2 linked regions of the Danio rerio genome follow. The protein of the gene in region 2 binds, or shares a complex with, the protein of the main gene of each other region. Links are inferred from orthologs where the notes say so. Each region holds a gene or a part of one and is shown on either strand. Other genes may lie near its edges. The genes, in order: pole4 and pole3.

Region 1 (4,466 bases), on a different chromosome or scaffold from region 2:
GTCCTGTAAACCACCAATATCATTGCGTATGTAATAAGCTTTTTTTTTTGTTTAAAACACATTATCCCTATGGAGAGACCCTGTAAACCACCAATACCAACATGTGCGTGTGTGTGGAATAGGCCTTTTTTTTTACAGTTTAAAACACATTATCCCTAAGGAGAGTCCTTGTAAACCACCAATGCCAACATGTGTGTGTGTGTGTGTGTGTGTGTGTGTGTGTAATAAGCATTTTTTACTGTTTAAATACATTACGCATATGGAGAGTCCCTCTAAACGACCAATATCAGCGTGTGTGTGTGTGTGTGTGTGTGTGTGTGTGTGTGTGTGTGTGTGTGTGTGTGTTTGTGTGTGTGTGTGTGTGTGTTTGTGTGTGTGTGTGTGTGTGTGTGTGTGTGTGTGTGTGTGTGTGTGTGTGTGTGTGTGTGTGTGTGTGTGTATAATAAGCATTTCTTTTACTGTTTAAAACACATTATCAATATGGAGAGTCCCTGTAAACCACAAATACCAACATTTGTGCATTTGTGTGTGTGTGTACCTTGTACTCATTATGTACACTGTAGGGATGTCCCCATAAATTTAGCAATACCAGTCAATATGGGGACATTTGCTTGGTACAATATAAAATTATTGTTTGATATAAAAGTTATTTAAAAAAAATCAATGTCTATAAGAGTCGAAGAAGGTTGCTGGTTCAAGTAGGGGCCTGTTGGCATTTCTCTATATGGAGTTTGAATATTCTCCCCGATGTGTTTGTGTGGGTTTCCTCTAGGTGCTCCGGTTTTCCCCCCTGTCCAAACACATGCAGTGCAGGTGAATTTGATGAACTAAGCTGGCCATAGTGTATGAGTGTGTGTGTGAACGTGAGAGTGTATGGGTGTTTCCCAGTACTGGGTTGCAGCTACAAGGACATCCGCTGTGTAAAATATATTTGTCCCAACACAAATCGTGTGGACGCCAGCACAGTGTGAGGAAAAGTAAATACAGAACTATGTTCAAGAAAAGAATAAACGTTTGAAAATAAATTTTCAGTTTAGCATTTCCTTATTCCTCCAACAGTAGTGTAATTTAATTATTTACCTGCCTGCACTATTATCTATGTATCTATGTATCTATCTATCTATCTATCTATCTATCTATCTATCTATCTATCTATCTATCTATCTATCTATATATATATATACACACACACACACACACACACACACACATACACACACACACACACATATATATATATATATATATATATATATATATATATATATATATATATATATATATATATATATATATATATATATATATATATATATATATGCAGGAATTTGTTGATTTTATATAAATGTATTTAATTATTTGCATATTTATTTATTTAATTTCTTATTTATGCAGGAATTTGTGGATTTATTTACTCATTTATTTATATATTTGCGTATTTATTTAAATATTGTTTTTGCAGTTTTTGTCCTCGTATTCTAATATTCATTCATTCATTCAAGTAGTCGTTTTTTAACTCTACCGTGATACCAAGCGATGACAAAGTGGTTAAAACAAATTCCAGGCTACTTTACCTTACTCAGTGAAATGAGTTGACCCGCTAGCATGACGTCGTGCAGTGACGTGGTTTCCGCCGTCCTCCTCTAGGTTGTGTTTACAGTCAGATTTGGCGGGAGAGGATTAGATTATCTGCTTTCGGTTCACAGCAGCGCGTTCGGTTGAGAGTTTTTGTGCGTCGATGGCGGCGACCGCGTCTGCAGCTCCCGCGGAATCGGAGTTGGACCGCAGCGGGGCTGAAGAAGAGCCCCGGGGCACCGAGCCGGAGGAAGACGCGGGGAGCGGGCAAACCGGGCCCACCGCGGGCGCACAGCAACACCGGCTCGCCAGGCTTCCGCTGTCCCGCATTAAAACCCTGATGAAAGCAGATCCGGATGTGACTCTGGCGAGTCAAGAGTCCGTGTTCATCATAGCTAAAGCTACGGTGAGACACACGTACACGTGCTGCCTGAGTTTACCCCTCTCCCCAAGTGTTTTATTCCAGTTTTGTATGTCTGTCATGATTACACTGTTTTTGTTTTATGCCTGGCAAGTGTTCCGTCGATAAGTCCTATCCTGTCAGATTTTTCCATTCAAAAAATAGGTAGCATAGTGTGTAATCAAAATATAAACCGATAGGTAACGTTAGCATATCCATCACGTTGTCCTACCAGCATAAATAAATACTGATGTGGAGGGGTGTAATACGAGCTTGTAATGTCGCCTTAACCTACCCCAAGTCCTAGCCTCGCCCTCATAGAACCATTGTTATCTGACTGGTAGGATAAAATGTCAGGACAGGCGATTTTCTGCCCTAGGCAATATTTTACCTGGTGCCCCTTGCCTCACAGCTCATTCCAGCAATAATCATTGTATACAAACGTTTCACACCGCAGATGCCCTGCCAGCCGCAACCCAGTACTGGGAAACATCTACAGTATATACACTTATTCACACACATATACACTATAGCCAATTTAGCTTATCAATTCTCCTATAGTTTTTTATTTAGTGGGCTGAATAAAAAACATTAAAAAAAACCTGTTTTTTTAGTAAGTGTACTTCTTTGGCTTTTATTTCTGCCATAATAAAAATATATATTTGTAGAGCAACTCATGTTCTGTTGTCATTAATATTTTAATAAACTTTAAATGGCAAAACTGTCCGAGATATGTACAAAAGTGATGCATCAAAGTTTGATTTAAAAAAAAGTCTTGAATGGTTATAAAAATGCTCACAATCATTCAAATAATTTATAAAAACAATAAAAATAATAAAAAATATTGAATGATATTATTGATATTACGTATTTCCGGAAACTTCATACTTCTCTGTTTATCCGTCTGATTTTACAGTCAGTTCCTCTTAGTTTTAAAGAATACTACAACGGCGAACACAGCAAGTGTAAAAGCCATGTCCGTTTTGCAAGGTACCCGCGCAGTCAGCGGCGCCAGGTGAAAGTAAAAATCCAGCTTAAGAGAGACGAACAGAGAGACATTAAAATATTGCATTATTAGTTTTCTATATGATGGATCTGTCATAACAGTACTTCTGTCTGCATATTCTGAATTTTCGAGGTCAAACCAAGGCAGATTTGTTGATTTTGTCAGTCTGGATGAGCCTGTTTGTGCATTAACACCATCAGGGCCAGCTCTTGAATTCACAACACCCAGGACAAGACTTTTGTGAACAGCCCACACTGGTTTAGACATTTACATCTCGGTCAACAACACAATGGTCATTATTGTTTTTCTGCCCGCAGGAGCTTTTTGTTGAAATGATTGCGAAGGACGCTCTCGTTTATGCACAACAGGGAAAGAGAAAAACCCTTCAACGCAAGGACTTGGGTAAGTTATAATGTCAAATCTACAGCTGGTTTACAACACATTCAGGTCTATTTTGACCCAAAAGACTTTAATCCAAGTTTTAAACTTTTTTTTTTTTTTTTTTTTTCAGATTTCTTTAGTTCCGTCTTAAAGGCATAGTTAAAATGAAAAATTAAAATGTACTCACTGTTTACTCTCCCTCAAGTTGTTCCAAACCTTTATGAGTATGTCTCCGTTAGAAAATCTCTCCGAGGAGAATTACTGCTGATCACAAATCTGCGGCTTTTCTATTAAAGGGACAATTCACCCAAAACTGAAAATTCTGTAGTTATTTCCTCTCTCTTTACTTTTCACAAACCAATTTGAGTTTCTTTTGTATGTTGAACGCAAGAGAACATATTTTGACAAATGTTTTGAAATCTCTACCCATCAACTTTTATAGCATTTGTTTTTCTTACTATGGAAGCCCGTAGGTACAGGTAGAGGTGTGAACCTATACTGGTCTCAAGGTTCGGTTACGATTATCATGCCATCGATTCGGTTCATTTCGATATCTCGGTGCATTGACGATGTTATATTTTGGGGGTAGCTATAACAAGCTGTCTGTGTAAACACACACATAGACACACAGCACCACACTGTCTCTCATTCACACACATACACAAACATAGACAGCACCAAACAAATATGCACGCACACACGTTTGCTTCCTTCCTTGCTTGCTCGCTCGCTCAGAAGCAATATTTCGAGACTGCCCACTCCTGTTAAAATTACACCAGAGTTATCGATCGCTCACGCGCTTTATTCGGAAATTTGTTACCGCGCCTATACCCAGAAGTATTGTTGTAACAGCCGAGAGGAAAAGAGAGGGGAGGAAAAGTCACGCCAGATGGTGAAATGGGCCACTGAGAGAGAGAGAGAAAGAGAAAGAGAAAGAAATGGAGTTCACTTTTGCCTTGTTTCCACTGACTGGTACAATACGGTTCGGGTCGGTACGGGTCACCTTTATCAGGCTTGCGTTTCCACTATAAAGGGTACCCTTTTGGTGGGCGTGGTGTAAGACAGAAAGTTTCAGTCGCATCATTCTCATTTGAGGAAATGTCT
Region 2 (4,534 bases):
TTTTATTTACCCATACCCTGGGTTTGTAGTTATAATTGAATTCAAGCACAATGTAACGTGGGCAATATTGGTGATTAGTATGGACTGTTCTACACTGGAAAGTACAATCAGGAACCCTTGGCATATTCTTTTCAACATACTATGATTTGAAAAATACTAATACTATTTTCAAATACTATTTAGGACAGATGGTATGCAAATTAGGATACAGCATTAGACAATATCCCTAAAGGCTTCCTTGTGTAAAACCCTGACTAGAATTTGTACTTAACACTCCTGAGGTGCAATTCCCAAAAGTGACTACAGTGCCAATCAGTGTAAATTGTAATAAGCTAACAATGATTTTGAGAAACAAACATCAGTGTTAAAATAGTTGGAAAAATTAAAGCTGAGAGGGTCATTATAAGGTGATGTTAACCAACTGATGTGCTAAAATCTTTCAGATATTTGCAACATTTAATGAGTTCTATATTTCAAGAGTGTGTGCAGGGTGGAATATAAATTAGTCACACAGTTAACACAACAAACTTTAATTGGGGGGGTGGGGGGTTAAGTACTCAAATATTTTTGAGTGGTACAAAGATAAGTACAAAAGTATCTAACATTTGGGTTGTAGAGCCCAATCATAAAATCAATAGAAACACCACGGTATAAAGATTTTACATTAAAAGAAATTCTTACAAAAATGCTTCCCAGGTACTTTAAGCTGCTCACTGTTCACTTCCTACCTCAAATCTTTAAACAACGTGTGGTTTCTTGACCCAAGTGACAGTATGTTAAATTACTTACAATAATCTGTCCATGAATTCTGATCTAACTGAATGTCCAGTTTGCCTTGCACAACAGCTCACTGTAATACAGCCTCAGATATTCAGTTGCATAAGGTAAAACGGTACCATAGGCTTGTCCCTGTCCACACTATAAAAGTGGAACCCAGACTAAAAAAGTAAGGTCTCTATCAGTTCTCCACATCCTCTTCCTCGGCTTCATTTTCCCCATCCTGTTCATCATCCATGTGCTCATCTTCCTCTTCATCCCTACTCTTGTCATTCTCATCTGTGCCATTCTTCTTCTCCTTGTCCTTGCGTTTTTGCTCCGATGCCTCCTTCTTGCCTTTCTGACCTTTCTTATAAGCTGTTAAATAAACAAAATTAGCACCAAAATGGTTATATGCATTTGAGGGTAAGTTCATCCTTTGCCATTTAAATCATTCAAAACCTAGAAGAGATTATCTTTGCAGAACACAAATGAAGATGTGTTCAAATGTCAAGAAGTTTTTGATACCTTGTAAGTTGATTTAACCAAACTCTGGACACTTACAAATGTTTATGAAATGATCAAAAATGAGTTCACTCAGTATAAGCCAAGGCTTCTGGTGATAGCCTACATTACATTTTTTGTGAATTAAGTCATTAAATGTGATATTCACACCAATGTGATATCTTTCCCCCATAAAAACACAATCTTGACCTTAACCTCTTCATATTTCCTGTAATGGAAAAGTTGCCCTTGAATAGGCATGATAGTTTTCTGTTCTAACTAGGCATGATCCGGTATAAGTTTCTGACAGTATGATGACCTTGGATAAAAAATATGGTTTCACGGTACTGTTTACACTGCTGTAAAATATAAATATTTTTAATGTCTTGGTGACAAAACAATTTTTCCCCATTTAACACAATACATTACATTTGAAAAAAACATTTATAATAGTTTGAAACAGTAAACATGTCAGGCTAGATAAATTATTGACTTCTATCTTCATTTGCTTCAAAAACAGATTTCCTTACAACACTTAAAAACCCTCTACAAGTACCTTAGAAACGGTACAAAACATTTTTACGGTTTTAATATCTAGACTTTTCCAAACCATGGTAAACCTGGAAACTGGTTATTGTCCCATGCCTAGTTTTAACAGACTTTAATGGATGGCCAGAAATACATAACTCAAAAATACATACGAGAAAAAGAGAACAGAATTTTCACGTTGGGGTGAAATTACTAATAAACCCATACATGATGAATGCATTAATAAGTTGACATCTCTACATCTGAAAGGCTCTGTTTAGCATAAAATACCTTCAAGTGCCTCCCGCAGTGGCTGCAAGAAACGCTCGAACTCCATCTCCTCCATAGCGGACATCACATCTCCAGCGTTAAGTGTCTTCCTCTTGGCTTTCATAGCAAAACTGTTTGCACTGGTGTTAACAAAACAGAACATATTGCAATTGGCTAGAGTGAAGTTTTTCAAAAAGAACATTTCTTAAGACTTGCACAAACCCTTAAAATATAGGACCCATTAGCTCGCAAATACCTGAGCACATCAGTTGTTAAATTTCACCTAAATAGGGCCCTCTCAGCTTTGATGTTGTCTCCACCAGAGTTAGCAACTATTTTAACACTGCTGTTGGTTTCCCAAATGCATTGTTAGCCTATGATTACAATTTCCATTAATTGGAACTGTAGTCACTTTTAGGGAACACACTTCAGGAGTGCTTAATACAGACAGAAACAAAATCTCTCAAGACTTACCAAGATGTGGCGTAGAGTACGAAAACACTTGCTGCTTGAGATATCGCCCGTCTTGCCTCCTTGGACACATTTACTCCTTCTGGTAGCTAAACAAGAGGATTACAAGTTGATTAAACTCTCTACAGAACTTAAGTGGCGTTTCATGCTAAAGATGTATTTGCATTGTTTGTTTGTGTGTTCGTTCAAATGGCTAACAGCGCTAGCTTTGATGACACTTACTGCCTCCTTTATAATCCTTGTGATGACAGCATTGGGGAGATTGAGGTCCTCGGGTCTTTCAGCCATTACACGCTCAACTGATTTAACCGGTTAGTGCTATAAATATTAACAGATTTGTGTCAAATAATGTGCGTGACGTTTAGATATCAATCCGAGCAACTGCAAAACCGCGAAAACTTAAAAGTTAGCTTAGCAAATTGTCCGGGGGTGAACCGACACCAGCTGGAACGGCTGAATTCCGTTAAACGGCGATTTTTTTACCTGATAAAAGCGACAGAAGAGTATCTAAATTATTTATTTGAAAATTGATTCGTTGTAGAAAAAAACGGAGCAAAGGCTAGTGTACTTCACTGTTTTGCTGCCCGCTTGATCATCCAAAACCACGCGTTAACCTTTTACCTCTTACCGCTCTGTCCCGCCAATCAGTCCGCTCGTTTGGGCATGACGTCAGTTTGTAGGCTAGCCCCGAAAATAAATCAGATGTGTTTCTTTTTTTTAATTATTGTTATTGTTATTATTATTTTTAAAAACAATGTAGGTTAAATGTATAGGCGTGGTTTCCATAACATGCATACATAATAGCTCAGTTTGAAAATTAAAATAGTAAAACAATGGTCACGTGGTTCACATGCTGCTGGTAGTTGTAGTTTTTATTTGTAGTCACCCAGACATCCCTATGCTCTAGTCCAGGGGTGTCCAAACTCAGTCGAGGAAGGCTGGTGTCCTGCTGAGTTTAGCTCTAACTTGATGAAACACACCTGCCAGGAAATTTCTAGTATATTTAGCAAGAGCTTAATTAGATGATTCAGGTGTGTTTGATTAGGGTTGGAGCTAAACTTTCCAGAACACTGGCCCTCCAGGAGCGTGTGGCCCGATTCATGAAGGGCCACAGCTCTGCACAGTTTTGTTCCAACCCTAATCACAGCTGATCCAACTAATCAAGGTGTTTAAGACTACTTTAGACCAGGGGTTCCCAAACTTTTCAGCCCGCGACCCCCAAAATAACAAAGCCAGTGACTCGCGACCCCCAATATCCTCTGAGGTGGTTATAAATACAGAAACCTTGCATGCAATGACACAGACACACCAATTAAATTTGTGTCAGTGCTTTAAATGTGCCAGAAAGTATAGCCTGATGTTATTGACCTTATTCTAAAATGCGGAAGTGCGCCTGTTTTCGCGATTGTCTTAGAACTTCCGTTTCAGTCGCCTATGAGAGAAATGACAAGAAATAATAAACGGCAAAAAACGGTCAAACTACTTGCTCTATAAACAAATGTTTGCATGACTATACAGACCAAGTAGAATAATATAACAAGGAAATATCAGTTTGCAACATCAAACAGCGAAACGAGCAGTTTTAATGTCTAAAAATGAATGGAAGTGAATGAGAGCGGAAGTCTCGTGCCAAAAAGAGTCAAATGGCAGCGCCCACTCGCCGGCGGAGAATAAGGTCAATAAAATCAAAATGCATCTGACGCTATTACCCCAGGGGTCGCAATCCAATAGAACTAGTAACTATAAGCTACTATAGTAACTATATAGTATATAGTAACTATAAACGACTATTTTTATTTTCAGTATAGTTATGGATAAAATATGTTAATTCTTATGGTTTAATAAAAATAAATAGATTTTTGGAAATCACCAGGCGACCCCCCCTTCATTGCCCCGCGACCCCTCGGGGGGTCCCGACCCCCACTTTGAGAGCCACTGCTTTAGACTACTAGGTGTGAGTTGGAGGTGGCTAAAGCTAAAGTACGCAGAGCTGCGGCCCTCCAGG

What was found.
Region 1: pole3 (region 2) and pole4 share a complex: the UniProt entries of both Homo sapiens proteins name them as parts of the DNA polymerase epsilon complex. The link is inferred for Danio rerio from reciprocal best matches to the Homo sapiens genes POLE3 and POLE4.

What each region holds. Positions count from the first base shown.
Region 1 is NC_133186.1:6,331,492-6,335,957, reverse strand, and holds the start of pole4 (DNA polymerase epsilon subunit 4), read left to right. Parts: upstream 1-1,617; 5' UTR 1,618-1,738; coding exon 1,739-1,981; intron 1,982-3,298; coding exon 3,299-3,383; intron 3,384-3,492; exon of another isoform or gene 3,493-4,466. UniProt on the Homo sapiens protein: Accessory component of the DNA polymerase epsilon complex. Participates in DNA repair and in chromosomal DNA replication.
Region 2 is NC_133180.1:33,508,102-33,512,635, forward strand, and holds pole3 (DNA polymerase epsilon subunit 3), read right to left. Parts: upstream 3,108-4,534; 5' UTR 2,818-3,107; coding exon 2,752-2,817; intron 2,619-2,751; coding exon 2,533-2,618; intron 2,199-2,532; coding exon 2,080-2,198; intron 1,135-2,079; coding exon 959-1,134; 3' UTR 515-958; downstream 1-514. UniProt on the Homo sapiens protein: Accessory component of the DNA polymerase epsilon complex. Participates in DNA repair and in chromosomal DNA replication.